Sus scrofa: one gene and its partners. The protein of the gene in region 3 binds, or shares a complex with, the protein of the main gene of each other region. Links are inferred from orthologs where the notes say so. Each region holds a gene or a part of one and is shown on either strand. Other genes may lie near its edges. The genes, in order: ZNF831, PHF20, OGT, THAP3, THAP1, KANSL2 and WDR5.

Region 1 (4,298 bases), on a different chromosome or scaffold from region 3:
AAATTACAAAGCAGCAAAGGGACGCCAGGTTCTTGGCACCAGGGGAAGCTTTCTCTTGATTTTCTAGTGGCAGCCCCTGGTGGGGTCTCAGACACACTGACCTGGAAGGGGCCAGAGATTCTCGTTCCCAACAGAGAGCCCACCCACTGGCTCATCCATCACCTCTTCTGGCCGAAAACAGCTGTTTGCCACCCAGATCCACCCAACGCTGGCTGCTGAAGAGGCCCCGCAAGAGGCTGTGACCAGCCATGCTCAGGGAGTGTGGTGTGGTCGAGGGCGGCACTCGCCCAGACACACGCAGCAGAGATGGGTGGGCCCGGGACCCCTGAGTCGGCGGTCAGGGAAGAAGGATCGACCCCAACCTCTTGGCAAAACGCCCAAGGTCAGGGCCCCGCTGGCTTACACACTCTCGGGGGCCTGACCTTCTTCCCTGAGAACTTGGGAAATCCAAAGATGGCAATGCTTCCAGAGGACCTGAAGAGTGGCTTGGCCAGGGGTCATCAGAGACCGCCTCTGTGTCTCTCTGGTCAGCAGAGAGGCCAGCCACGTGTCCTGGGGACTCAATGGGTTGTCCATGCTCCTGCGTTGGACGGACCCACCATGAATGAACTTGACAAGGACCACACATAGGTCTCAACACATGGCTCTGGAAGCCAAGTTGTCAGTGGCTGGGTCTGACTACAGGATCGGGGTGGGGGGGCGGATATTCTGATTAACTTAAGGGAGTATGAGGGGTGTCCTTCCAGTTAGGGGCCGTGATGTCATCACACTTTCTCTCCGACCTAATAACTGTCGCCAATGTCCAGAAGCAGCCATCCCACCGCTCAGCTGCCGCGTGGCCTTCCGTTCCTCACTCCCGCTTGGCGCCCCAGCTGGCTGTTACCCTGCTATTGCCTGGGAGACCGCGGCACCGTGCTCATAACATCTCCTGCGTTTACACCGCTCTTCCGATGCACAGCCCGGGCCGTGAAGGATGAACAGGCGTGATCGGGGTAATGAACCCCAGACACGATTCCAGCCGACATCTGATCAACCCCAGCCCCGTAACTAGTTCCTGCTAGACTATCGCACTTTGTCCAAACCTGTTTCGGAAATATGCTTTGTCAACATCCCCCACTCGGGGAGTCAGCAGCCCCGTTCTTGTTCTTGTTCGTGGTGGTAGAGTGGGCCCCCAAACCCTGATCCAACCTCTTTTTTCCCAATTTCAGCTTTGCACAGCCTTTCCTTTTTGGAAAACAAAGCGCAACAATGGCAGCTCTCCCTTGGCCAGTGGCCAGCCAGCCAAGGGCTGGAGCCAGGAGATTAACGGATACACCCGGAGAGGGCCAGGTCAGAGAGCAGAACATTCTGGACACACGTTTGTGTTGGAGACCAGACCCTGAGGCCCGCGAGCCCCGCACGTGAAGGTCAACACCTCCTGGTTTGAAGGACAGGCTGAGGCCCTTCAGAACCTGTGGATGAAACACGCCTATGACATTAATTAATGCCAGGCAAAATGTAACAGCAGATCTTGGCAACTAAAAATAGACCTGTGCCATCTGATTCATCCCCTGACTGCACAGAACTCGGAGCTCCTTCACCGGCCTCTCTGCTCCCCGCGCGCCGCTTCCCGGCCTCGCCCTCGGCCTCCATCTTTGATCCTCTCCTCCCGCCCAGCCAGCGCCTTGAACCTGCCGGCGGCAGCGGCGGCGGCGGCGGCGGCGGCCCGGCTCGGCTCCCCTCCGACCACGGGCAGGCTTCATGGGCCGGGGGAGCGTTTCTTTTCCTGGCTCACATGGTGGCGAGCCACGCAGTCTGGCCTCAGTCCTGCCCGTGCGGGCGTCTCTGCCGTTGCATCACACACACAGCTCCACGGCTTCGGGGCCGTTCCAGCCCCTTCTATTTTAAACTTTGTTGATTTCTCCTGGGAAGGAAGCCTATTTCATACAGATTAGCTGGACAGCTGGGTCGGACTGCTTCTGATTACCGGGCTTGGGGCCACTGGGGAAGCAGGTTTCCCAAAGCCCCTTGGACGGAGACGCGTTCCATAGGGTCCCCAAGGACGCGGTGCGGGGTCAGCGCTCGCTCGAGGGAGGAAGGTCAGCGGCCCCAGTTGGAAATCAACAGGTCAAGCCCAAGGCAGGGTCAGACCTCCGTCTGCATGGCAGGCTCGGGAGGAAGGCTGTGCGGAGCGGTGGAGGAGGGGGCACGGGAAGCCCCCTGCTTCCAGAGCTCGCGCGGGGCCCTAAGTGGGGGCTTGTGTCAGAAACCAGGGCGTGTGCTGGGGAGGAAGCATCCATCATGCTTGCCTGAGATAATCACTCGGGAGGCGACAGACAAGGCTCAATGATTCAGGTCCCTTCATCTGGCCTTGCCTCCCAGACCTCCAGGAGCACAAAGACATCACAAAGACCGCTCTCACCTTGACGTGGTCAGTCCACAGGCAGGTGGGGGCTGCCGCGCTCTCCTGCAAACCGGTGGCTCCGACGAGGCAGGAGCTCTCTCCCTGCACGTCCCATCTCTGCCTTTGCTGCTCTCTATGCTTCTCTAGAGGAAACCGAGGGCTGGCATTTGTTTTAATTGTGTGAGTGGAGGGTGGGGGGTGTCGGGGGTGCCCAGGCGGTGTGGGGCGGTGAAGGGACACGGGGGGAGTGTGCAGCCTGCCCTGGTGTGGGTTCGGGTTGAATGGCCGACGCCCGGGAGATGGTTTGCCTGCTGGAGCTCCGTGTGCTGCAGCTCTGTGTGTGGGCGGCGGCAGCTACACGGCTGGGTTTCAAACCATTACATTGAACATTTGCAAACAGATAAAAAAACAAAACCATCCGGTACGAATGGAAACTTGTTTGCCTCTCTCTCTCTCTCTCTCTGCGCTCTCTCCCTTCCACCCCCCACTTGGGTTTCGGAGGAGGTGGGTGAGGGTGGGCATCGCCTGCTTGGCGCTCCCCCAGCCCCATCTCTTCCAGCCATGCCACCCAGCCCCACGGCCACGAGCACGGACAGGTGGGTCAGGTCCTGGACATCAACCCCCTCGGCGTGGGGGATCCCCAGACATTTGAGAAGGATTTTTCTCTTCCCCGGGGTCTTGCCCAAATTCCAGCCAGAGCGCCATTACGCCCAAGGAGGACCTGGGTGTCCACACCTGGCCATCTCTTATCCTTCCTAGTTTCGAAGCTACCTTAGACCTGGCCAGCGAAGAGGGGTGAAGCACACTCTCATACCTGACGAGACTTCCCAAGGCATTCTTTCCGAATGGTTGCGTGAGATACTCCATAAAAAGGGAGGGGAAAAAAGTCCTCTGGTCAAATTTCTTTGGGAACTGTTGCATCCTGTATTGCTCTGGGATAGTTCAGTGTTCAGGCGAAGGCTCTGAGAAGTTCTGCAAAAGAGGATCCTACTAAACTTTGTTTAATCCAACATTTCCAAAATGTGTAGATTTTAGGTGAAAGAATCCTCTCTGCGCACCAGTGACATCACCCACACACATTCATACCTGCCTCCTTTCCCTCCCCCACCCCCCCCCACCCCCAGCGGTGGCCTGACCCACATCTACATTTTCAGGCAGAGAGCAGGAGGGGACAGGCAAAGAGAGATACTGGGAGCCAGGTAGGTCAAAGGTCGCCATCTTAGGCTACACTGGACTTGTTATTAACTCAGGAGCCCCAGGTGGTTAGCAGTGAACTTGAGACTGTGGTTCTGGCTGGACAGGGAACATGAGGGAAGCAGATGATCCCTCAGGGCCCCGGGGTGGAGGGGAGGGGGGGTTGTCAGTGCACCTTCTCTTCCACCCCAAGGGGGTCCCTGGTCACCTCTGCAGCCCACGGAGGGGAGCAGCCTGTGGCTGGGTGCTGACCCAGGCTGGTGCAAGAGTCCTCTGTTGCCCTGTCCAGACCTCCACTGGGCACTGTACAGATCAGGTGACAGGTCTGATCCTGGACAGCATGAGACAGCAGGCAGAGGAATGGAAGCATGAAACATGTGAACTCTGAGAGAGGCATCCGTGTCAGAAAGGGCCTTTGTACAACTATAAATGTAATAAAATTCATTGAGTAATTTAAAAAAAAAATGAAAACAAATCTATTTCTCCAACATCTCTCTCATAAACTCAAAATGGATTAAAAAAAAGAAAGAAAGAAAAAGAAAAGAAAGAGCCATGATGGAAGGGCACGCAGGAGGTTGGGCTGGGTTGGGGGTGCGCTCTGCTAGATTTGGGGGCCACTCTGGCTCATCAGAGTCCGCAGACCCCAGCACTACAGCTCACCACCAGTGGAGTCTTGGCCCAGCTCTGTGAGCCTTAGCCACCTCATCTGAAAAGGTTCTCA
Region 2 (3,513 bases), on a different chromosome or scaffold from region 3:
ATTGCTTGAAATAAGTTCATTGACACAGTGGAGCCTTGAGCTCTCTAGATTGTGCAGACCTTATTGGAACAGGATATGAGCTATTTAGGGAAGGTTGTTTGTGTTTAATTTGGAATGTGTGTGATCTCCAAGTTCCCACCCTTGGAACAAAATAATGTTGGCACATTGGGACGATTGAATGCAGGAAGAGCCAAGGAGTTTAGCTTTCTCATCAGGTTTGCCTCCTCAGAGCTCAGCCCTGCCTTCTTTGGCCGTTTGACATGGCAGATCTGAAGCTACTGGTCTCGGAGCCTTCTCTTTCCTCTTTCCCACCCACTTGCTTCCTTTCCTCCCTCTTCTTTCTCCTTGCTGCTTCTTTCTGTCTCTTCAACCTTCATCAGACCCCCTAGCCCTACCTTTCCCTCATGCTTCCCAATTTCTTTTGTTTTATTTCTTAGCCTTTTGGATTTTCATCTTTCCCAAAGGGAGAGAGCTGCTTTCTTTCTTTCTTTCTTTTTTTTTTTTTTTGGCCACCCCTGTGGCAGGTGGAAGTTCCCAAGCCAGGAACTGAACCTAGGCCACAGCAGGGAACCACTTCATTGCAGTGACAATGCTGGATCCTTAACCTGCTGAGCCACGTGGAACCTCCATGGAGGGGGAGAGCTTCTTAAGTGTTAGGTTTAAAAATAAGGAGTGAGCACTGTATAAAGGTTTAGCTTCTGAACTGCTAAATTATATCAGGGCTGGATTTGCTGGTGATAAGCACCCTTGCCAGGAACACTGACTAACAAATAGCATAGACTCCTGAGTTTTTTTCTGGAGTTGTTTTCAAAAGGTCCTCAAAACGAGGACCAATGCCAAGCTAACCAATTTAGAAGTAGAGGTTGAAAATAATAATCAAGCCATAGTCCCAGGGTACACCTTTTAAGAATTAGCCAGCATGATGGATTTCCTGAGTACTGGATAAGCTATATTTTGGTGAGAAGATTTGATGGTGATAAAAAATGGCTTTTCTGTTGCCCTTCCATCCTCGTATATTTAAAAAAAATTTATTCTTTTCTTTTTGGCTCTGCCTGTGGCATGCAGAAATTCCCAGGCCAGGGATCAAATTCCCAGGCCAGGCCTTCACTGCAGCTGTGACCCAAGGCTGCGGCAATGCTATATTCTTAACCTGCTGAGCCACAAGGGAACTTCCTCTATTCTCATCTTTTATTTTATTTTTAATTAATTTATTTTTTGGTCTGTGCTTGCATCATTTGGAAGCTCCTGGGCCAGGGGTTGAACTTTTGCCACAAAGGAACTCCACCTTCATATTTTAAAGCAGTCATGGGATATTTAAAGAGAGGGTTTCAGGAGATAAGTATTATGACTAGAGCTGGGTCATATGAGAGACCAAAAAAATTCAGGAGGTCGGTCTGTAGGTATCAGCATCTCCTATAAGAAAAAAATTTCTTGGAGTTCCCGTCAAGGCTCAGTGGTTAACAAATCCGACTAGGAACCATGAGGTTGTGGGTTCAATCCCTGGCCTCTCTCAGTGGGTTAAGGATCTGTTGCCATGAGCTGTGATGTAGGTTGCAGATGTGGCTTGGATCCGGCATTGCTGTGGTTCTGGTATAGGCCAGCGGCCACGGCTCCAATTAGACCCCTAGCCTGGGAACCTCCAGATGCGGAGGGTATGGCCCTAGAAAAGACAAAAAGACAAAAAAAAAAAAAAATTCTCATCTTTTTTTCTTTTTAGCTTAAGTAAAAATACCCTTTGAGAGCTTATTTATCAAACAAGGATGTGTGTGTGTGTATATATATATATATGTATGTTTTATTTATATATAATGTGAAGATTGGTCACTAAGAAATTACATACCTTTTTTTGTATGGTTTTATATACATTGTAGCTGTGGATTCAAACAGTCAAACTTTGCAACCAATAACGTTGGAACTGAGAAGACGGAAAATATCAAAAGGAAGTGAAGTCCCCATAAAACGTCCTCGGCTTGACAAAAATTCATGTGAGTTCTCAGTTTGTGTCTGTGTGATTAGAATTTGACAGTCATTGTGTTAGTTCCCCTATATCCAGGATGTCACTCATTCCTTATAGGCTCTGATGCTTGTTGTCCTTGATCACAGGAACAGATGTGAGTGGGATGTGGTTGGATCAGAGGAGTTTTGTTCAAGGAAAAATAAATCCCAGAGCACAAGCTGTATCAATGTTGGGTTCAGGGATGTAATCTCCATACCCATAAACTACATTTGATTTGCATTCTACTAGAAATTTAATGTTTTAGGAAGGGATGGATATCATATGCCAAGTGAAACTTTAAAAATACAATTTAGGGAGTTCCCTTCGTGGCTCAGCGGTTAACGAACCTGACTAGGATCCATGAGGATGCGGGTTTGATCTCTGGCCTCACTCAGTGGGTTAAGGATCCAGTGTTGCCGTGAGCTGTAGTGTAGGTCACAGACATGGCTGGCTTGGTTCTGGCGTGGCTGTGGATGTGGTGTAGGCCAGCAGCTGTAGCTCTTATTCAACCCCTAGCCCAGGAACTTCCATATGCTGTGGGTGCGGCCCTGAAAAGCAAAAAACAAAAAATGATTTATTGATTTTTTTAAAAAAAAATACCCTTTTGGCTTCAAAAAAGATTTGTGATGGCTCTAAGGCTCTGTAAATCTTAGTAACTTGGGAAATTCATCATAGACTTTTATGTTGGAAAGCCCCAAAACAGAATTTGTCAAGATGGGGATGTGACCTTGGCACGTATTTTCAGATCATGAATCCATTAAGTTAGGAAAATTATATCCTGGCAGAAAGACTGGGCCTTTTCACTTTACTTAAAATTATAAAGCAGGATAGGGTATTTCCTTTCATCACAGATCTGATATTCTAAAGTCCCTCTGTAAAGCCTTTATAGAGGCACCTGGTCCAGAAATCTGTAGTAGCAGAGTTATTTCTTCGGGTTTCTTGACTACAACTCTCTTAATGGTTTATAGCCCAGGAAAAGTCAAAAAACTACTCGGAAAACACTGACAAAGACTTATCAAGGAGACGGTCCTCCAGGCTGTCCACTAATGGGACCCATGAGATCCTAGACCCTGACTTGGTTGTATCAGATTTGGTTGATACGATTAATACCGATACTTTGCAAAACACATCAACCGGTACCAAGGAATCTGAAAAAGGTGAGTCAGAGTCTATTCTGGATTGGTCTTGCCAACCTGATGCCTCTCTGTTGCGAACCAATCTAAACCAAGCATTGCAGTAGCTTCATACAAGTTTTAGATGGTCTTGAAATCAAGTTAATGAATTGGCTGCCTTCTTTCTTTCTTTCTTTTTTCTTTTTTTTGTGTTTTTGCTTTTTTCTAGGGCCGCTCCCGTGGCGTATGATGGTTCCCAGGCTAGGGGTCCCATTGGAGCTGGGGCTGCCGGCCTACGCCAGAGTCACAGCAATACAGGATCCGACCCGCATCTGCGACCTACACCACAGCTCATGGTAACGCCGGATCCTTAACCCACTGAGCAAGGCCAGGGATCGAACCCTC
Region 3 (4,136 bases):
CACATTTTCTAGGAGAGTTTGTGTAGTGAACTTTGCCTTTTTCACAGCATCTGACTTTCAATTATGGATGTGATGGAAGAAATGATCAATACTACAAATTTCCTCGGTGCTCATATCTATAATTAACAGTTTGTGAACTGTCTTGAAGGAATTGAAGCAAAATTTGAGGATTTTTTTTTTTTTTAGTGTGGTCAGATGGCTAGGTAGTAGAAATGTTTTGAAGAAATTCACTGACTTGTTTTCTTAGATCAAGGACTTTTTTTTTAAATTAATAAAAGAGGCTCTGAGAGATGCAACTTGTTGCCTCCATTGGTTTATAATAATTTCTTGTGAATGTGGCAAGCTACCTTAAATCCTTTCTGGAACAAGAGATATAAATTAATACCAATGTGACAAAATGTCTAAACAGTGGACTTGAAACTGCAGGAGGATCATATAGAACTGATTTGTTCAAGGAAGTAGAGGCAATTTAGTTTCAATCTGCATGTGTGGTTTAGGTAGATGGCAAATGAATCCATTTATCATTGTTGAGCTGCCTTGAGCTAAATGCTATCACCGTTTGTAACGATTTGCAAAGCTATGTGGTGGAAATGAAATCACAATTCAGAAGAGAGTCGTGGATTTTGATGAATATGAATCATCTTTAACATTTTTATGGCTGCTGCTTTGGAGTGCAAACTCTCAGCGAGTCCCTGAGTTATGAAGCATTTGCCCTACGGAATTCTCTGGGTAGAACTATCCTGAATACCAAAAGGTTTTGGAAATTTCGGGCTATATGGCCAAAACGTGAGATTCTTGGGTTCATTTGGCCCTGTGAAACTTTTTCATCAAAGTGTTTAAATCAATGGCTGGAATCAGAACTAAGACGTATTCAAATTGAAACCCTCTCTGCCACCGTTTTAAACGTCAGCCTTGGAAATCTAGCCATTTAAATTTACTTAGAATTGATTCAACAGCCTTGTAACTCTTCCTTTCCGTACGACTAAAGTTGATGAAACTTTTCTAGACGCCTTTGGCATCTCTTAAAAATCTACATTCCTGGCTCGGTAATAGACTAGACTTCCCCACTTCGGCAAAAATGTATCCGTCCTGTGTATACGTTTCTTTTTACCCTTCCGCTCCGCTAGTAGAAAACTTGGACGCTCCCGCCCCAGACAGTGCCCTAACCGGGTCGGGTTGACAGGGTTGCTCGCATGCGCTCTCGACACAATCGTGTTTGTCGCAATGGGCCCTGCGCGGAAGGTTACATAGGAGCAAGTGACTTTGATTATAGTCATTTTGTTGGTTGCGCTGGTTACCGCGCTACTTCCGCGCTGGTACTTGATTGTAACAGAAAGTAGTTCCGGCCCGTGTTGTTTCGGCCGAGGAGCCGTCGCCGCCATTTCAAGACCGTGAGAGGTAGATGGCCAACCAGAGTTCTTAAGGTTCGAAGCCTGTAACTGTTGCCGCCTCTTAAGCCTGCCAAAGCACTGGTACGGCTGCTGCCCTCTTACTACTACCTCTAGAAACATTCTTGCCAGTAGTGGCGGCAGCGGGACTCAATTACCCTTTTCTCGCTTTTCCTAAAGAAGCTCCAGATGGCGTCTTCCGTGGGCAACGTGGCCGACAGCACAGGTACCGGTGTCCCTTCTACCTTGGCAGACGCCCCCTTGGGGTCTCGCGCCGTCCTCTGCCTCTCATCACTCCCTTCCTTCCCTCTAGCCATCCCCATTACATCAGTGGCATCGCTGAGCTTTTCGTCGTCTGCCGGCATCTGATCGGGGTTTCCGCTGTCGTCCGTTCTTCAAACATTTCCTCTTGCTTGCTGGCTTTTCGCTTCCTTTCTTGCTTTGTAATCCTATACATTTGCTAGCCTTCTACTCTCTCGGGACGCTTCTTTTCACACGTGCGCGCTTAGAATGTCTCGGAATGGACTGCATTGGAATCCCTGTCCTTCTCGCTGCCTTTCACTCTCCTTGGCAGTCGTTTTCTCCCTTAATTCAGCTCACCGCCCCCTCCTCTTCCTCCTCCACCCTGCTCCCCTTAGCCCAATTTGGTGCTCCTCTGTCAATCGAGGGCGGGGGTGCCGGTCCGATGTAATCGTATCCTCACTTTGCATCACCCAAGGACGAGCCCAGGCTCCTGGGTGTGCTCCGAGTAATCTCGAGCCCAGGGGCTTTTGAGCAGTGCCCCGCCGGGCAGCGCCTTTCTGCCGGGCTTTCGGTTGAGCGAGCGGCCCCGGTTTCGATTGGAAATTTCCAGGGGTTCCTTTTGCCATCGTCCGATTCCACCCGCTGCCCCCAGCCTGGATTTCCCACCCTGTCCACCTCCCTCCCCTCCCGCGGGGAACCACACCCTTTCCTTCGCGAGGTTGCCAGCCTTGCGGTCCACTTCCTACCCTTGGGGAGAAACCACCCTGGTGCCGGGGCTTTGGCGTTGACCACCCTGCCCGCCCGATTCTCGCTTTGTGTTACTTTCTCCCTGTATTCCTCCGCCGCCGCCTCTGGGTCTTTCATCCCCATTCTTTAGCCCGGTATTTCTTTATTCATAGGGGGTGTATTTTTTTTAAGTTTTCATCCCCGCTTGAAGAGTTTGTAAAGCAACTGGAGTGTAGCTGCACAAGAGCAAGGCGGTTGCCCTTTCAGACAATTAGTCGAGAGCATTTGGTACTAAAAATAAGAAAACAACCAAATTACAGGAGTGTCCTTCGTCTGCCTTTCCATATTGAGGCTATTTGGAGCGGGGGGGGGGGGACCGGGCTGCGGTTCTAAGGTTTCCCACGAGGTTATTATTATTATTATTTTTTGGTTGGTTCCCTCAGTTGAGATGTGTCAGGGTTTTTTTTTTTAATTGTTTTTGGACATTGTGCAGTAAGAAGTGAATCTTCAATTGTGTCTCATCCATGATCGTAGGTAGTGGGATTAATAATTAGTGTTCCCCTCCCTCTCAGGGATTTTTAAAGATTTAAGATTCTGTCCTAGATTCTTCTGTACTAGCTTGCCCTTTTCTACGTGTTATTTTATTTGAGGAAGTTGTCATTTCCAGTGTTAAAATAGCAGATAAGCGGCTTTGAAAAATTGATAAAGTAATGTGTTAAAATAAGGAGCTCGGAAGTTCTAGAGGCTTGTCTAGTGATTTTTTAGTTTCTATTAGAGATATAACGTCCCCTAGATTTGGATGCAGGTCTCTCTTATGTTAGTGGTCAGCTGGCTGTGCATCCTCTTAGGGAATTTACTTAGCTTTCCTGAGAATACAGTTCACTCCTCAGCTCTAACGATTGGGGGGTCTAGGCTCAAATTTGAGCTTGTTACATAGACCTTGGTAGAATTTTATATAATTTGTACATGGTTTCCCACTCTATCTAGGGAAAGTGCTGTGGTCAGATTCCCAGTAATGTATCATTGTTTTAAGTATTTACAATTGAGTCTTAGGCAGCTTGTTGTTGTTTTCCCTCTCTGGGCTTTAGCTGTACACCCCTTATCTTTATGTATCTAAACCAAGTCACTTACACACAGCAAAGTGCTTTCATTTATTATTCATCCTGTCGCACTTTATCAAATGGTTTTATATTTTATCGTTTTCCCATTCTTTAAAAAAAAATCATTGCAGTTCTAAGTAACTGCTTGGTTTATACAAGGTTGTTTGCAATGTCTTAATCCTTTAGTCAGCACCAGAGCTTTTTGGAAAATGCTGGTGTTAAACCAGTGTGGGTGGGATTTAGCTAAATTGGTCTCAGTGTGAGTTGGGGGTGGTAGAGGAACAATATAACCTTGGGTCTTTATTTAAAATGTTTGATGACCCCTTTAATATTTTGGCTCTTGACAGATGAATCCATTTTGTTTATCAGCTGTTTTAAAAATAGCACCTTGACTTTTAGTTTTTTTTCCCCTTATGTTTGTTTCTAGTGTCGCCCTTAAAATAATTAAAAAATTAAGTTGTGAAGTAACAAAAAACAGTATAATTTTAAGAGTAAAACACGCATTTGCTGTCCCCACCCAGGTTAAGAGATAGATTGTTACCAGTACCCCATCCCCCACAAATCCAACCTAAAACAAGGGACAAAGTGTTAAGTTTCCCAGTAGGTTATTCTGACATTAACTCTATGTGACCTTGCAAATCACATGTTTTATACTTTGTTTCTGTATGTTAACTATGGT
Region 4 (3,513 bases), on a different chromosome or scaffold from region 3:
CGCCAGATCGTTAACCCACTGAGCAAGGGCAGGGACCGAACCCACATGGTTCCTAGTCGGATTCGTTAACCACTGCACCACGACAGGAACTCCCCATTCTTTTTTTTAGGTCATGTTAAAGTATAGTTGATAGACTGTGGTTTATTTTTAAAGCAGCGTTGGTGTTCCCTGGTGGCTCAACAGGGTTCAGGATCCAGTATTGTCACTGCTGTGGTTCACGTCACTGCTGTGGCACGGGTTCCATCACTGGCCCGGGCACTTCCACATCCACAGATACAGCCAAAACCCAACCAACCAATCAAAAAGATACACAAAATGAACCAGAAATAAAGAAAGCAGCTTTAAGCTGTGGATTCCCTCAAGGACTGACAGGACTTCCCGGGCTGCTGTCCCCGCCCCGGACCCGCACGCCCACCCCCCACCGGGCGCACCTGCGGGGGCCCCTGGAAGGTGAACTCCGTGGGCACCGCGTTGTGCTTCAGGTTCTTGCGGTTCCCAAAGGCGCTGAAGCACTCGGGGCGGAAGTGCTCCGAGCAGATGACCGTGTGCTGCTTGGGCTCGAAGTCGCCTCGGCCGATGTTCAGCACCCATTCCTTTAGCAGCTCTGGGCGGCTGAACGGGAACCTGGGGCACAGCGAAGACGTGACAGGGGTTCGAGAGGCTGAAGGCAGCACCACAGCCTGGGAAATGGGGTAGCCCCATCCTCTAAACCCCATCCATTCAGGAAGCTTCTGTAACGGCAGGTACAGCATCTGTAGCAGGAAGCCTGAGACCATGAACGTGGCCAAAGAGCCATGTTCTGGAGCCGCATTTGCCTGGCCGTCCGTTCCCTGGGGGCGTGGCCATGACGCTACTTTCTAGAACAGGGGGACAGGCAATACAGCAAACACAGACTGTGCTGCTGTAAGTGGTCAGGGACGACCACCTGAGAGGTGACACGGGAGCAGGGAGAGCTGCAAGAACTGGGACAGCGAGCTGTGCGGGTATGAGACGCGCCTGCGTGTGTGAGGAGCAGTCAGGGGCAGGTGTGGCTGAGACAGAGCAAGAGGAGGACTCGAGGACTTGGGCCTGGAGCAGAAGGGGGTTCCCGGAGGCTCTGGCAGAGGGTGACAGACTGAGTCCACCCTGGCTGCTGCAGCCACCCAGGCACCTGGTGGCTGGGATCAGGGCATCAGCAGGAGCAGGCAGACCTGGGATCTATTTTCAAAGTCATGTAATAAGGTTTGCCCGTGGGCCGTGAAACAGAGAAGGAAGGAATTTCACTTACTAAGATTAGGCGGAGGGGAGCTTTGGGGGGGTTAGAAGCTTGGTTTTATATTTTAGATATTAAACCTAAGGTGAGGAGTTCCCTCCGTGGTGCAGTGGTTAACAAAGCCAACTAGGAACCATGAGATTGCAGGTTCGATCCCTGCCCTTGCTCAGTGGGTTAACGTTCCGGCGTTGCCGTGAGTTGTGGTGTAGGTCGCAGATGCGGCTCGAATCCTGCGTTGCTGTGGCTCTGGCGTAGGCTGGCAGCTACAGCTCCGATTAGACCCCTAGCCTGGGAACTTCCATATGCCGCGGGAGCGGCCCAAGAAATGGTAAAAAAGACAAAAAAAAAAAAAAAAAAACCCTGTAGCACAGCAGTGACCTGAGCCACTGCAGTGACAATGCTGGGTCCTTAACCCACTAAGCCACAAGGGAACTCCCCAAGGTGACTTTTAGATATCCAAGTGCTGAAGGTGAGTGATAAGGTAGCATGCGTGCCTGGGGGTATCGCTGTGGCAGTCCCCGGGTAGAGGGTGGCAGAGCAGTAAGTCCAGGTGAGATGGGTGCCCTAGGAAGCGAGTAGGGACAGGGACGAACCAGAGGCAAGCTCTGGCCCTGAAGCGCTCCATCAAGTGCTGAAATGAGGACAATCCAGCCAGACTGAGAAGGGACCCTGTGACAAACAAAGCAGCTGAGAGGTGTCCTAGAAGCCAAAGGGAGAGGATCTCAAGCAGTCAGCGGTCAGTCACGTCAGAGGCTGCAGAGGTCCATTCAGATGAAGATGGACCACTGCACTGAGCACCATAAGGGCCACGGGGGACTTAGAGCGCTTTTGTGGGAGGGGTGGGGACAAGAGTGACAGGAATGGGAGAGAGACCCCAGGCAACGCCACCCCCAGGGACACACCTGACACCCACACACACAAGAGCTGGGAGACAAGTCCCAGCAAAAGTGCCCAGAGCCATGTGCTCATAATGGCCAAAAAATCACAGGGACCAAAGGCCCTTCAGCTGCAGGACAGTTAACCCTGGAAAATACACTCCAGGAACACCGCGCAGCAATGAAAAGGACGAGCCGCTGCGGGTGACCCTCAAGTACAACCCTGAGCAAGAGAAAGTGCAGCCTGGTATTCCACTCCGGTGAGGTTCCCAGCAGGCCAAAGCAGGCCCCTGGGACACAGGCAGCAGAGCCTCACCCCTGAGGGGGCGGGAGAGCGAAGGGCTGGAGGGGGTGGGGCTGCGAAGCCCAGCTCAGGGCAGCCGCAGGGGGCTCACTTTGTTAAGCCGGTTGCGCTACGTGCTTAGGGCCGGTGCACTTTTCTGTATGCGTGTTATATCCTCGCCTTGAAACAGCAAACGCTAACAGGAGGAAAGAGGAGACGAGGAGCGCGGCAGCCCCGTGGACTCCCGCTCTGAACGGGGCAGGGGAAGGGGCCGGGGCTGGAACCTTGAAGAAGGCGTGCAGCACCTGATCGGGGGGGGGGGGGCCGCGTTCCCGCGGCGGGCCTGGCACCCGCAAAGGGACAGACTCCAAAGCCCCGCCATCCTCCCGGGGTCCGGGAAAGGCCGCGCGTCCCGGCCCCGCGCCCCCACCCCCCGGAAAGTGCTCCTTCCTCCACCCTACCCTTCCCTCCCGACCAGAGGCCAGGAGAGGCGAGCGCCCCGCGCACCGCACACCTGAGAGACATCGGCATCTCTCATTCATGCAGCCAACACTGCACCCCTACCACGTTCCGGGCTGCATCTGAGAATGAGAGAAAACCGCCGGGCCGCGGAGGGGACGCACGCCCAACTGCGGGGGCGCTGGGCGGGGCGGCACCCCCAGCCCCGGGCTCCCCCGACCGGCGGGAGGCGGCGCGCCCTTGGGCAGGTGCCCCAGCCTCTCAGACCGCCTCCCCGCGCGCCCCGGCGGCCGAGGCGGTGCCAGACTTCCTGGCCCGGGACCTCCTGGTCCCGGGGCCGCCACCGCTGCGCGAAGGGCTCGGCCGCACGCCCTCGGGCCTCCCTGGTGGCCCGGCAGGGCCCCGGCGCTCCAGGCCTGGGGCTCCGGCGGGGGCCGCGGCCGGGCGGCCCGGGCGAGGCGAGTCCCGGAGTCCCCCGGAGTCCCCGCCCCTCACCGGTGGAAGGTGAGCTGCTTCCTGCGACTGCTGTAGCGGTTGCAACACTGCCGGGCAGCGCACGACTTCGGCATCTCCAGACGCCCGGCCCTGCTGCCCCCAACAAAGATGGCGGCGGCGGGGCCTGCGGGGCGCGGCGGGGCCACCGC
Region 5 (4,150 bases), on a different chromosome or scaffold from region 3:
GATATCTTTATCTTAATTTTTTTTTTCTCCTTTTAGGGCCTCACCCGCAGCATATGTAGGTTCCCAGGCTAGGGAACTAATCGGAGCTGTAGCTGCTAGCCACGGCCACAGCAATTGGGATCCGAGAAACACGTGAGGTAGACCACAGCAACCGGGTCTCAACCCATTGAAACCCGAGTCCTCACGGATACTAGTCGGGTTTGTTAACCACTGAGCCAGGAGGGAGGGGGAACTCCTTCCTCATTCCTTTTTTTTTCGTCTTTTTAGGGCCACTAATGGCCACACTCGAGGCATGCGGAGGTTCCCGGGCTAGGGGGTCTAATCGGGGCTAGAGCTTGCCCGCCCTGCACCACAGGTACAGCACCGCCATTTCCGAGCCGCGTATGCGAACTACACCACAGGTCACCGCAACTCCGGATCCTTAACCTGCTGAGCAGGACAGGGATCCAACCTGCAACCTCATGGTTCCTAGTCGGATTCGTTTCCACTTGCGCCACAGTGGGAACTCTGTGTCTTCCTCATTCTTGTTTCCACTACCAGCAAGCCCTGGTGTTTCTACCTGTTAGCATAGGCATCTACTCCTTGGTCCAAAGTTGCCAATCTCCTGTCTGCTTGCAACAGCCTCTTAATTGGTCTGCTCTTATTAATTGGTCTGCTCACTCACTGTTGCCCCTCCCTGATAAATTCTTGGCATAATAGCCAGAATGACCTTTTATTTTTTTATTTTTTAGTCTTTTGCTGTTGTTGTTGCTATTTCTTGGGCCGCTCCCGCGCATATGGAGGTTCCCAGGCTAGGGGTCGAATCGGAGCTGTAGCCACCGGCCTACGCCAGAGCCACTGCAACTCGGGATCCGAGCCGCGTCTGCAACCTACACCACAGCTCACGGCAACGCCGGATCGTTAACCCACTGAGTGGGGGCAGGGATCGAACCCGCAACCTCATGGTTCCTAGTCGGATTCGTTAACCACTGCGCCACGACGGGAACTCCCCAGAATGGCCTTTTAAAAACGTTTATTAGATCATGTCTCTCCCCGCCTAAAATGGCTCAGCGGCTTCACGCTGCAGTATGCCCCCACCCACTCACTGGGCTCTGCCATTGCAGGCCCCATTCAGTTCCTAGAAGACAGACCTTTTTACTGCCTCCAGGCCTTAGCACGCACTTCTTGTGGCAGAAACCCTCTCCCCCCGACCCGTTGTTTGGTTCTCAGATTTAACATTCCCTTCTCAGAGAGTAGGCAGTGACCCTCTCCTTACTACCCTCATCTCGGCATTCTAATGTATTCAGGCACCTGAGCACACTGTGATTTTATTTACATTTTTATTGTCTGTTTCCCCTTACTAGGACTTAAGCTACGAAGACTGGGCCTATGCTAGTCTTGCTCACCAATTAAAAAAAAAGAAATTATGAGCCATGAGATTACTCAACAGCCCGTTATCGACACAGACGAAAGGAGCCGGCCAAAAGGGCTGCAGCTGTTGGCGAGTCCCAACACGGCACCTGGAGATCATTAAGATAACTGCAGCATTAGTGAGAGAAGCCCCTAGAGACTGGGCTCGCGGTGTGTGCAGGTGCGGGCTTTCCTGGCTAAACTCTTCACCTGGGCTCCGCAAAGCCTCAGAATACCTGAAGCAGGTAAGAGAGGTTAGCGGGCCGGGAAGGGAGTCCACCAAGTTTTACACATCACGCCATCTGGGACCGCCCTTTTAGAGAAACAAGGCAATTATGCAACGACCTCAGCTTTACACCTGTCCTGCTTCAGGCCAGCAGACCCAATAGACGGTAGAGTGCCGCGAATCTGAACCGCCCAGCATAAGTAACCCCAAGCAGCACCGCCGGGGCGGAATCGGTCCTGCGCTCCCACCCCCCTCTCCCAGGTAATTACTCCTTCCTTCCGGAAGCTCGGAGGCCCCGCCCACTTCCGCAACGCTCAGTCCGCCGCGCGGCGGGACTCAGCCAATGGCCTGCTTCCCAAGAAACGTTACCTCTGACCTCAGGGCTAATCAAGAGACAGTAGGACTAACGCCTCGCGAGAGGTGAGGTTGAAGCTGTCTCCGCCATCTTGGAGACGGGAGACGGGCGATGGCTGTGGTCCTTCTGCTAATGCAAACAACAAAACGGACACATTAGTCGCTCCCGAGTGAGCCTCTCGTCATTGTAACTGTTGACCAAAGCTACGGAAGAAGAGAGGGTGTCAAAGTCGAGCGCGACGACATTGATAGCAGCCTCAACTGCCTGCTGGGGCGGCAGAAGTGAAGTAACCAGGACCGGAAGGATGGTGCAGTCCTGTTCCGCCTACGGCTGCAAGAACCGATATGACAAGGACAAGCCCGTTTCTTTCCACAAGTAAGTATCCTGAGCGCCTCCTGGGCCTCGCAGGGGCTGGGGGCGCGCGGCCCTGCTCGGGGGCGGGGCCAGGCGCGTGTCCGCGCGAGACCTAGTGGGAGGGGCGGGGCGCCGTCTGGCGCTGGGACGGGGAGCGGTGGGCGTGCCCCTGGCGTCACCCGCGGCGCTCCGCCCCGGGATGCGCGTTCTCGGTTGCGTCGCCGCGGAGGCTGTTCCTCGCGCTCCAGTTTCTAGCGGAGCTCAGGGTAGCTAGTTCGCGGCCCACCCACGAAGCCTAGAATTCCCGTGAGTCGTGGGGTGTCCAGACCGAGAGGCAGCTGGGTCTCACCACCAGGGTCGTAGAGAAGCCAGGTAGTAATGCCACTTTAGCCGTAAAGTTGAAGAGGAAACAGCCGGGAAGTCACGAACTTTGATCCCCTGCGGTGGGGGGAGTCCAGCATCACAGCATTTAGGCATTGACGTGGGCGGGATTTCAGGGAGGATGTTTTGGACTCTGCTCCTGAGGACTGCTGAGTTTTAGAGAGAGCTCCAGGCTGAGCACACTATGTTAACGGGCAGTAGTGGTACACTGTGCATGATAAAATCAGCCGGGCTGTCACGGACCTGGAAGAAGCCCTCGGAGGGGGACACGTTCCCAGTTCTAGGGCCGGTTTCACCTTAGAGGTCCTAGGAGGAAACAGGTCTCTCCAAAGAAAGCCGAAAAGTAGAGTGACAATGATAATCCGATGTCTGCACGATGGCATTTTCATTCAGCCAAATTCTATATTTACAGATGTTATCACATAAAAAGTGTTTTGCAATAATCTCAACCGTAAATGGATGATAGCTAAAGAAATAAAAGCCAGTGATAAATTATACGATTTATAGCGAAATAATTTCAAGAGCAAAATCTTAAGTATTCCTTCAGTTTGGAGGGTGGGGCCTTTTATGTTTAACAGGGAATGTGGATACATTTTTGTACATTTGGTGTAACACTAGAGAGCTGAGGGAGCATAGAGAAATCTTGAGAGTGTTGCTGTTTCCCTTCTAAGGGGAGAAACACAACACTTCCAGATTCATTTGAGGGGGTGATATCTTAATATTACTCTTGATTTATTAGAATTTCTGAAAGCTGATGGATTGGCCTCCAGTACTTTCAAAGTCAAGGGAGTAGGTCTGGAGGTGGTGACACCATCGCAGGCTGTTCAGCTACCCACCTTCCAATTTTTTTTTTTTTTCCTTCGTCTTTTTAAGGACTGTTCCAGCTGCACATGGAAGTTCCCAGGCTAGGGGTGGAATTGGAGCTGCAGCTGCTGGCCTACGCCACAGCCACAGCAATGCCAGATTCAAGCCACATCTGTGACCTACACCACAGCTCATGGCAACGCCAGATCCTTAACCCACTGAGCGAGGCCAGGGATCGAACCCGCACTTCATGGTTCCTGGTCAGATTTGTTTCGGCTGCACCACAACGGGAATTCTAGTTATAGGATTTTAAAGCAAGTACATTTTTTAATTTAATCACTGCACCAGTACTGGGAGAATATGGAAGTTTCTGGGCCAGGGATTGAATCCGAGCTGTGGCTGTGATCTACACCGCAGCTGTGCAATGCTGGATCGATAACCCACTGTACCACAGCAGGAACTCCAAAACAAGTCCATTTTTAACAAACTAAGGTAATAAAGGCACAACTAAAAACTGTCCCCCAAAAATGAGCAAAGTTAGCATTTTCATCAAATACTCATTGGTGTGTTAACACCAGTATAAGCTAGTTCCTTCCAAAGCAGGAAAGTCTGGATGTGCCCTTTTTTGGAATAAGGTTAGA
Region 6 (4,275 bases), on a different chromosome or scaffold from region 3:
ATGAGGGTTGGGAGGGTTAGCATATGTATATAACTCATAGTTGCTATTTAATGGTTGTATTGCATCCGTAATCCCAAACTACTCTAGAATGTTTACTCCAAAAGAGCAGGATTATCTTTCTTGTTCTCTCTATATCTGTACTGGCTGGCACTTAGGTGCTCAGTAAATATTTGCTGAATGAACAAATCTCATGCAAGGGCCTTCTAGGACTGCCCTAATCCCTGGGAAAAGTCACCTCTAAGCCCTCCCCTATTTTGGTTTTAATCACTTCTTTTTATCTAAACTGCTGTTCCCCAGCATTGTAGATTCCCTATGCTCACCTGCTCATTGGTAGTGGAAAAATAGCTTACTTAAATGAAACTGACAACAGCTAGGAGAGCTTGTGAAGCTTGGGATGCAAAAAAGATCCCAAATTGTTTTATTTCTGCCAGAGGTGTGGTGGAGATGAAAGAAGAGATGCTTTAATTAAAAAGCCTTAAAGGACGATAAAATTGGAATTGTGCCTGCCTTTTCTATATACCTGCATGATTTAGCTTGGTATTGTACAGAATTTTAGAGAATCAAGGCCTCAACCATAACTCATATTTACCAAGTCTCAGTCCAATGCCTTTCACTGTATGACCAGGAATAAAGGGATAAAGAATGAGGGAATGGTTCGTGGAGTTCCTGCTATAGAGCAGTGGGTTAGTGATCTGGCTTGTCTCTGTTGCAGGTGCCTGTGATTCCAGCCTGGCACAGTGGGTTAAGGATTCAGCGTTGCTACAGCTGTGATGTAGGTAGACGCTCTGGTTCAGATTTGATTCCCTGGCCAACCAACTTCCATATACCACGGGTGCGGCAGAAATAGTATTAAAAAAAAAAAAAATAAAGGAATGAGGGCTGGTTCAAATTTGTCTCCATTCCCTGTTTACTAGATACGAGCCTATTCTGTTCCTCTGTTATCTTATCTGTAAAATGGAGATTATAGCTTCTACTTTTTAGGACTGTTCTGAAAAGAAATGTTTATATACATAATTTTCCAGACTCAGTAAATACTCAAAAAATGTTTCCGTAAATTAACTTTTCACAAAACTAAGCCTTTTACTGTATAAACAGTAAGAGTCAAATGTACCACGATCCTTTGGCCTCCCTGTCGATTTTGTGCCTACCGTGTAACGGTGGTGGTGTAGCTGCGGCCTAGTGCACAGATAAAGCGGCCATAATCGACCTGAAAATCAGCCATGCGGGGAGGTGGAAAGACAAACCGTGCGCTGCTAGCGGGTCCCCGAGCCCGCACTCAGCTCCGCCTCACTTTCATGAGCAAGTTGATGACGGACAGCTCTTCTCAGCCACCCAAGCCGCGCCTTTTCTTAGCGCCCCGCCCCCTAAGACTTGATAGGTAGCTGGCCTCAGCCAATGGTGACGCACAGGCGTAGGCGTCGTGCCCAATCAGCGAGTGGGAGCCGGGAAAGGAATGGGGCCGCGTTAGAAGCGGCTGGCGCGGCCAGAAGGCAGCAGCGCGGCGCGCGGCGGAGGTAAGATGGCGGCGTTGCTTGCTCTTCGCCTTTGCCTTCGGGGTACTACTTCGCCCTTTCTCCCCATTCAGAGCTGCTACCCTGCTCCCTCAATCAACGTCAGGGTCGCTCTCCTCTTATAATCTCCCAGGACTTGGGTTCTCCGGTGCTCGGAGACTTAGGACAAAATGGCGCTTGCAGGCGCCGCCAAGGATGGGCAGGGCCCAGGCGTGAGGTCTCAGGCGGACCGGGACAAAGGCGGCGAGCCGGGAGGCGGAGACGGGGGTGGGGGCGCGGGCGCGGCCCCTCGTGCGGCGGTGGCGCGGCCCCTCGTGCGGGCGGTGGCGCGGCCCCCTCGTGCGGCGGCCGTACAGTCTCCGTGGTGGTGGTCGGCGTGGGGCGGCCTTGGCGGGGGAAGTTGAGGTGAGGCAAATTCACTAATGCCCGGGGAGGCTTGGGCTGGGAGACCTGGGCGGAGGGAGTTAAGGAGCGTGACTTCCGCTTGTCTTTTAGAAGCCACGCGCCGTCTGCCTGGTTACTGTGGGGCAGGAATTTTCGGGAAGGGCTTTTTGATCTTTTGTGTGACCCTGCAGGTTTTGGTATGAACAGGATTCGGATCCACGTCTTGCCGACCAATCGGGGAAGGATCACCCCAGTGCCCAGGTCTCAGGAGCCCTTGTCTTGTTCGTTTACTCATCGCCCATGCTCGCAGCCTCGTCTGGAGGGGCAGGAGTTTTGCATTAAGCATATCCTTGAAGACAAGAATGCACCTTTCAAGCAGTGCAGTTATATATCCACAAAGAATGGAAAAAGATGTCCTTGTGCTGCTCCGAAGCCTGAGAAGAAAGACGGGTATATATGTATAGATATCTGTACTTTTATGTTTTTCATTGTGGGTTTTTGTTTTTGTTTTTTGGGGGCATGTCCATGACATGTGGAAGTTCTTGGCCCGGGGATGGAACCAGCATCACAGCAGCGACCCCAGCTGCTGTGGTGACAACGCGGGATCCTTAACCTGCAGCCTGCCACAAAAGTACAGGGAACTTCTGTTCTTTTAGATTTTAAGTGATGTGGGCTGGGAAATAGCTGGCCAGTTCTTTGGTCACATGCTTGTAACATTGAGGTTATGGATATATCCTTGGAGAACTTTTTAAAATGGTGAAAACTGGAAGGAGACCACTCTCAGTTGGGCCACTTCGTTAAATGTCTTTGGATCTTTTCTGGTACCTGTAAAATAAAGGGACACTCTAGATTTTTCTTTTTTTCTTTTTCCTTTTTGGGCCGCACTTGAGGCATATGGAAGTTCCTAGACTAGAGGTCCACAGCCATGCCATATCTCTGCAACCTACACCTCAGCTCACAGCAATGCTGGATCCTTAATCCACTGTGCGGGGCCAGGGATTAGCACACTTCCTCATAGATACTAGTTGGGTTTGTTACCGGAGCCACAAGGGGAACTCCCTCTGGGTTATTCTTAACCTTAGGTTGCATGGCTCTTTTGGCCATGCACGTTTTATGTGTGTGTATTCTTCTTGGAAAGACTTAATGGTTTTCATCAATTAAGCAAAAGTATCCATGCAGAACATAGATAATTCTGTCTGTATCTTTTGATTTTAAAATTGTGTCTCATATCCTTTTACCTACAGTGGATTGATACTGAAGTAAAATGTAGAGTTGCCTTCCAGAACCAGGCTTTTTTTTTTTTTTTTTTTTTTCTCCCCCTTGTCTTTTTAGGACTGCGCCCATGGTATATGGAGGTTCCCAGGCTAGGGGTCTAATGGAGCTACAGCTGCCGGCCTATACCACAACCACAGCAACTCAGGATCCGAGCCTTGTCTTGACCTACACCACAGCTCGTGGCAACACCAGATCCTTAACCCACTGAGCAAGGCCAGGGATCAAACCTGAAACCTCCAGTTCCTGGTTGGATTAGTTTCTGCTGCGCCACGATGGGAGCTCCCAGAACCAGTTTGAAAGATGGAAGTGGATCTCTGATGATGTTGTGAAATGTCAGCGTTTTTATAGTTGGAATGTTTTGTTTAATGGGTAGAGCACTAGGTTTTGTTACCTGCATTTCCCTTTAGTAATACCAAATGAGTTGGTCTTGGGCCAGTTAATTTATTTTGCCTCATTGACATTTTTAATTTATAAATGAAGACAATGGTCATTTTAGTTTCCTGAAAATAATCTAATGATCAGTGTCTCTAAAAATCACTGAACTCCTTCAGGAAGGAACCTGAGTATAAACGTGAATATTTTATCTCCTTAGGGTGTCCTTCTGTGCTGAACATGCCCGTAGGAATGCTCTAGCACTTCATGCTCAAATGAAGAAGACGAATCCAGGGCCTGTGGGTGAAACACTCTTGTGCCAGCTGAGCTCATATGCTAAGACAGAGCTGGGGTCTCAGACTCCAGAAAGTAGCCGAAGTGAAGCCAGCCGAATTTTGGGTAAGAAACTTCTTTAGGGTGAGAAAATAGGAAGAAAGTTAACAAAAAATATAATTTGGTTTAGCACAGTGCCTTGAACATATTTGGCACTTGATAAAAATAGTATTATTGTTAATTCATTTGCCCTTTGGTGAGAATTCAGGAATGCCGTGTTGTTCACTAATCTTTCTGGTTTTAAGTAGTATCTGCTTAGGTTTACTTTCTTGAGTTTATGACTGCTTCCTTCATTGCTGTTTTTACACTTAACATCTTTGTTAGGTAAGGTAATTCAGGAAACAATCATTTTGAGTTGGCCTTTCTGTTTTGAGAGCATAGTTAATTCATTAATGTTTTA
Region 7 (3,402 bases), on a different chromosome or scaffold from region 3:
GGCGGGTTACCAGGGCCATCGCCCCAGGGCCAGGATCCCAGAAAGACACCCGCTCCAGTGCCCGCACGGAGCCTGCTGGGTGCAGGCTGCTGATGTAGGCACCCTGCTGGGATGGTGGGCATGGCGGCCTCCCGGTGCTGCCCGCTCTGCCCGGGCGCCCTGCTCCTAACACGCTTCGGGTGGGTGTCCCGGCCGTCCACTGCCCTCCTGGAGGCGGCTGGCGCTCGGCCTCCCCGGGCACTGTGGGAGCCCTCGGGTGGGCTCACAGGGTCGGCCCCCACAGGAGGAGGAAGGACTGTCCGCCGAGGTCTGTTCTGGACGTGTCCGCAATGGGGCTTCCTGAGCCCTTTTCTCGCAGGGACGTGGACCCCTTCCCGGCTCGGGGAACGCTTAGTAGCTTCCTTTAACCAAGCCTCTTGGGGAGTTAACGTGTGGCTCGACAGGTTAAGGACTTGGCACTGCAGTAGCTCAGGTTCGATCCCTGGCCCAGGAATTTGCACACGCCTCGGCCGAGGCCAAGTGAAAAACAGTGTCTTGGGGTTCCCGCGCTCTGCTCCCAGGTGTCCTTGCTCTGTGGACCCTGGGCTGGGCGCGGGCACCGGAGAGGGTGGGTCCTCGGGGGCTCGGCTGACACGCCCTCTCCCCGCAGCACGCTGAAGCTCTGGGACTACAGCAAAGGGAAGGTGAGCGCCGGGACGGGCTGGCGGAGGGTCGTGCTGGGGCTGGGGCCGGGGCCACGGCTGGGCCGGGGTGGGTTGTGCTCAGAGCGGCTCCGTTGGCTGAAAGGTACCTGGATGGGTTACCCCGGGGTGCAGGGGGGCGCCACTGAGCGGACGGGCCCTGCTGTTTCAGTGTCTGAAGACGTACACCGGCCACAAGAATGAGAAGTACTGCATATTCGCGAATTTCTCTGTCACTGGCGGGAAGGTGAGTCATGTCCCTGCTGGGGGTTCTCCCCGGCCCCTCTGGGGCGCTTTTTAACCCAGTGCAGCCCCGCTGGTGGCATCCTCAGCGGGCCTTCCCATTGCGTCCTCTTCAGGGCCACAGGCTCCTTTGCGATGCCGAGGGTGTCAGCACCTTCTGGGAGTCAGGGACCCTGGCAGGCTCTGGCGTCTGGTCCCCGGGGCTCCCCGCCTCTCAGGCTCAGGCTGCGGGGGAGATGGTGACGGCAGCCCTGATTGGAGCAAACAGTTTATGTCCTAGAAGTGGCGGGTGCTGGTGCGGCATCGGGACAGGAGATGGGCGGAGACCCACACGGGGAGGGGTGCTGGTACTGCTGGTCCCCAGGCACGCGCCTGACACCCTCCCGCCCCGTGACAGTGGATCGTGTCGGGCTCGGAGGACAACTTGGTTTACATCTGGAACCTGCAGACGAAAGAGATTGTGCAGAAGCTGCAGGGCCACACGGGTGAGCTCTCCCCCACGGAGGGACCAGGTCCTGTGAGCATCCTCCTGCCTCTGCTCCTCGGCCCCCTGGGAGCCGGGGGCTCTGTTTGGAGCTGTGGGTCTGAGCGCCCGCAGGCCGAGCCCGAGTGTGGCTTTAACCTCTCCTCCGGCCCTTGACGTCCTTGTGGGCCCTGTGGTCTGTCCCCGTGGAGATGGTACAGGGACCCGGGCTGCCTGCCGTCTGCTCTGCCGGCTGGCTCCTTTCCAGGCTCTGACCTCCTGCCCGCTCCTGTCCCCTGTGTGGAGTACCTGGGCAGCCCCTAAGCCCCCCCCCCCGCCCTCCCCACTCCTGCTCAGTGCAGAGTGGTGTCCAGCCGTGGAGAGTCTGATGAGAGTGTGCGACTCTGCCTAAGGAAGCCACGCCACTGCCTGAGGTCCTGGCCTGAGCTTGGAGGTCCGTGCTGGCCTTCAGCTTCCGCACCTGGCCTGTTGCTTCTGCCCTGCTGTGGGCAGGATGCTCAGGCTTATTTGAAACCACTCAGGCAAGAGGGAAGATTCTGGGGTTCAGTTGTCTTTTTAGGGCCGCACCTGCGGCATATGGCGTTCCCAGGGTAGGGGCTGAATCAGAGCTGCAGCTGCTGGCCTCCTCCACAGCCACAGCAATGCCAGGGATCAAACCTGCGCCCTCATGGATACCAGTCAAATTTCTTTCCGCTGAGCCATGATGGGAGCTCCCAAGGGGCTGAGTTAATTTCAGAGCTGCAAAGTGTTAACCTGACGGACCCCAGGCGCCAGCCCCGGGGGTGAACTTGCAGCGCAGCCCTGCGGGCGTCCTCTGCTCCGCGGCGGGGAGCGCGTGGGTGCGCCGGTTTGGGTCCCGGTGCAGAGGGCGCGATGTCGATGCCGTGAGACGGACCCCGGCTGTGCCTCTGGCTTGTGAGGGGCCCCAGTCTCTGGGCTCGGCGCTGGGCAGCCTCCGGGCCCAGGCCGGTGCTGAGCACCTCGCGGCCCACTGTCCAGGCCTGGTGACCTGAGCTCTGGGCTCGGACGCCCTGGGGCGGGGCAGGGCTGCGGGGCGGGGCCACGGGGCGGGGCCGCGGAGGGACCGTGGTGCCTCTGCTTTCAGACGTGGTCATCTCGACGGCCTGCCACCCCACAGAGAACATCATCGCCTCGGCCGCGCTGGAGAACGACAAGACCATCAAGCTCTGGAAGAGCGACTGCTAGGCCCGCGGGCGCGGGGCTGTCGGGACGCCCAGCCGGGCTGGCGAGAGCTCGGTGCTCGAGGGGCTCCCTGGTCCAGGCCTGGGGACTGGAGGCGCCTGGGCCTGCGCCGCCTCCGAGGACGGCTTGGCCGAGGGCCGTGTCCTCCGCAGAGGTTCTCGGAGCTGCCGGTGGCGATTCTTGCCAATGCCTGTCTTGTTGGCTGGGGAAGAGTTAGAGTCTGTATTGTGTTCGGAGGCCACAGAAATTTCTAATTTTTTATTACAAAAGGTGAAGTTCAATTTATCACGAGTTGTGTTTTTTTCCAGTAACTGTTCTGTGCATTTTATCACCCAGTGCAAGTGCTGGACCAGTCGCCACCACGGTGTGTGGGCGCCAGCCTCGCCCACCCGGCCTCAGAGGGGCCCCCTCGTGGGTCCAGTGACCTCTCTGGGGACCCCCACCCGGTGTTGGTCCTGCCCGCGCTCGAAAGCAGCGTGTCTGCAGCGTGTCTGCCCACGTGCCTTTGGCATCGGGGCCGTTGTCCCCGTGCTGCCAGCGTGGGGGTCACCCTGGGCGCTTCTGTTTGTCCCTCTGGTGGTCACACGCAGGCAGCGCCCCAGCGGTGATAAAGGTGGCAGCCTGGGCGAGTGGCCGCCGGGTTCTCACACAGAGCTTTGCTCGCTCTTTTGTGGAAAGCCTCGCGGTCGGCAGGAGGTTGAGAGGACGCCTCTCAAAAGACAGGTCCGAGGGATGCGCCACTCCTTGTCCACGCGGGCTCGAGGGCCCCTGCAGGCTGGTGGCCTGTGGATG

What was found.
Region 1: the proteins of OGT (region 3) and ZNF831 are in contact, whole or in part, in a crystal structure (PDB 8FUF), measured with the Homo sapiens proteins. The link is inferred for Sus scrofa from reciprocal best matches to the Homo sapiens genes OGT and ZNF831. Residues at the interface, in NP_858058.1 of Homo sapiens: Phe723, Ile734, Met779, Ile787, Ile790, Asn791, Arg792, Gly793, Leu808, Ala809, Thr831, Arg832, Ser833, Gln834, Tyr835, Gly836, Leu837, Pro838, Glu839, Arg877; in NP_001371283.1 of Homo sapiens: Phe937, Ser938, Pro939, Lys940, Tyr941, Leu942, Leu943, Arg944, Leu945, Pro946.
Region 2: OGT (region 3) and PHF20 share a complex: the UniProt entries of both Homo sapiens proteins name them as parts of the NSL complex. The link is inferred for Sus scrofa from reciprocal best matches to the Homo sapiens genes OGT and PHF20.
Region 4: OGT (region 3) and THAP3 share a complex: the UniProt entries of both Homo sapiens proteins name them as parts of the THAP1/THAP3-HCFC1-OGT complex. The link is inferred for Sus scrofa from reciprocal best matches to the Homo sapiens genes OGT and THAP3.
Region 5: OGT (region 3) and THAP1 share a complex: the UniProt entries of both Homo sapiens proteins name them as parts of the THAP1/THAP3-HCFC1-OGT complex. The link is inferred for Sus scrofa from reciprocal best matches to the Homo sapiens genes OGT and THAP1.
Region 6: OGT (region 3) and KANSL2 share a complex: the UniProt entries of both Homo sapiens proteins name them as parts of the NSL complex. The link is inferred for Sus scrofa from reciprocal best matches to the Homo sapiens genes OGT and KANSL2.
Region 7: OGT (region 3) and WDR5 share a complex: the UniProt entries of both Homo sapiens proteins name them as parts of the NSL complex. The link is inferred for Sus scrofa from reciprocal best matches to the Homo sapiens genes OGT and WDR5.

Annotation. Positions count from the first base shown.
Region 1 is NC_010459.5:59,275,749-59,280,046, reverse strand, and holds the start of ZNF831 (zinc finger protein 831), read right to left. Parts: upstream 2,806-4,298; 5' UTR 2,402-2,805; intron 1-2,401.
Region 2 is NC_010459.5:39,165,815-39,169,327, forward strand, and holds part of PHF20 (PHD finger protein 20), read left to right. Parts: intron 1-1,871; coding exon 1,872-1,985; intron 1,986-2,964; coding exon 2,965-3,153; intron 3,154-3,513. UniProt on the Homo sapiens protein: Methyllysine-binding protein, component of the MOF histone acetyltransferase protein complex.
Region 3 is NC_010461.5:57,519,775-57,523,910, forward strand, and holds the start of OGT (UDP-N-acetylglucosamine--peptide N-acetylglucosaminyltransferase 110 kDa subunit), read left to right. Parts: upstream 1-1,323; 5' UTR 1,324-1,472; exon of another isoform or gene 1,473-1,568; 5' UTR 1,569-1,577; coding exon 1,578-1,614; intron 1,615-4,136. UniProt on the Homo sapiens protein: Catalyzes the transfer of a single N-acetylglucosamine from UDP-GlcNAc to a serine or threonine residue in cytoplasmic and nuclear proteins resulting in their modification with a beta-linked N-acetylglucosamine (O-GlcNAc).
Region 4 is NC_010448.4:67,455,269-67,458,781, reverse strand, and holds part of THAP3 (THAP domain-containing protein 3), read right to left. Parts: exon of another isoform or gene 3,439-3,513; coding exon of another isoform or gene 3,365-3,438; intron 3,349-3,364; exon of another isoform or gene 2,942-3,348; coding exon of another isoform or gene 2,925-2,941; intron 625-2,924; coding exon 432-624; intron 1-431. UniProt on the Homo sapiens protein: Component of a THAP1/THAP3-HCFC1-OGT complex that is required for the regulation of the transcriptional activity of RRM1.
Region 5 is NC_010459.5:11,770,515-11,774,664, reverse strand, and holds the start of THAP1 (THAP domain-containing protein 1), read left to right. Parts: upstream 1-1,343; 5' UTR 1,344-2,274; coding exon 2,275-2,345; intron 2,346-4,150. UniProt on the Homo sapiens protein: DNA-binding transcription regulator that regulates endothelial cell proliferation and G1/S cell-cycle progression.
Region 6 is NC_010447.5:79,302,762-79,307,036, reverse strand, and holds the start of KANSL2 (KAT8 regulatory NSL complex subunit 2), read left to right. Parts: upstream 1-1,468; 5' UTR 1,469-1,514; intron 1,515-1,891; exon of another isoform or gene 1,892-1,916; intron 1,917-2,086; 5' UTR 2,087-2,094; coding exon 2,095-2,345; intron 2,346-3,762; coding exon 3,763-3,941; intron 3,942-4,275. UniProt on the Homo sapiens protein: Non-catalytic component of the NSL histone acetyltransferase complex, a multiprotein complex that mediates histone H4 acetylation at 'Lys-5'- and 'Lys-8' (H4K5ac and H4K8ac) at transcription start sites and promotes transcription initiation.
Region 7 is NC_010443.5:273,573,655-273,577,056, forward strand, and holds the end of WDR5 (WD repeat-containing protein 5), read left to right. Parts: exon of another isoform or gene 1-649; coding exon 650-683; intron 684-852; coding exon 853-927; exon of another isoform or gene 928-1,320; coding exon 1,321-1,408; intron 1,409-2,512; coding exon 2,513-2,613; 3' UTR 2,614-2,901; downstream 2,902-3,402.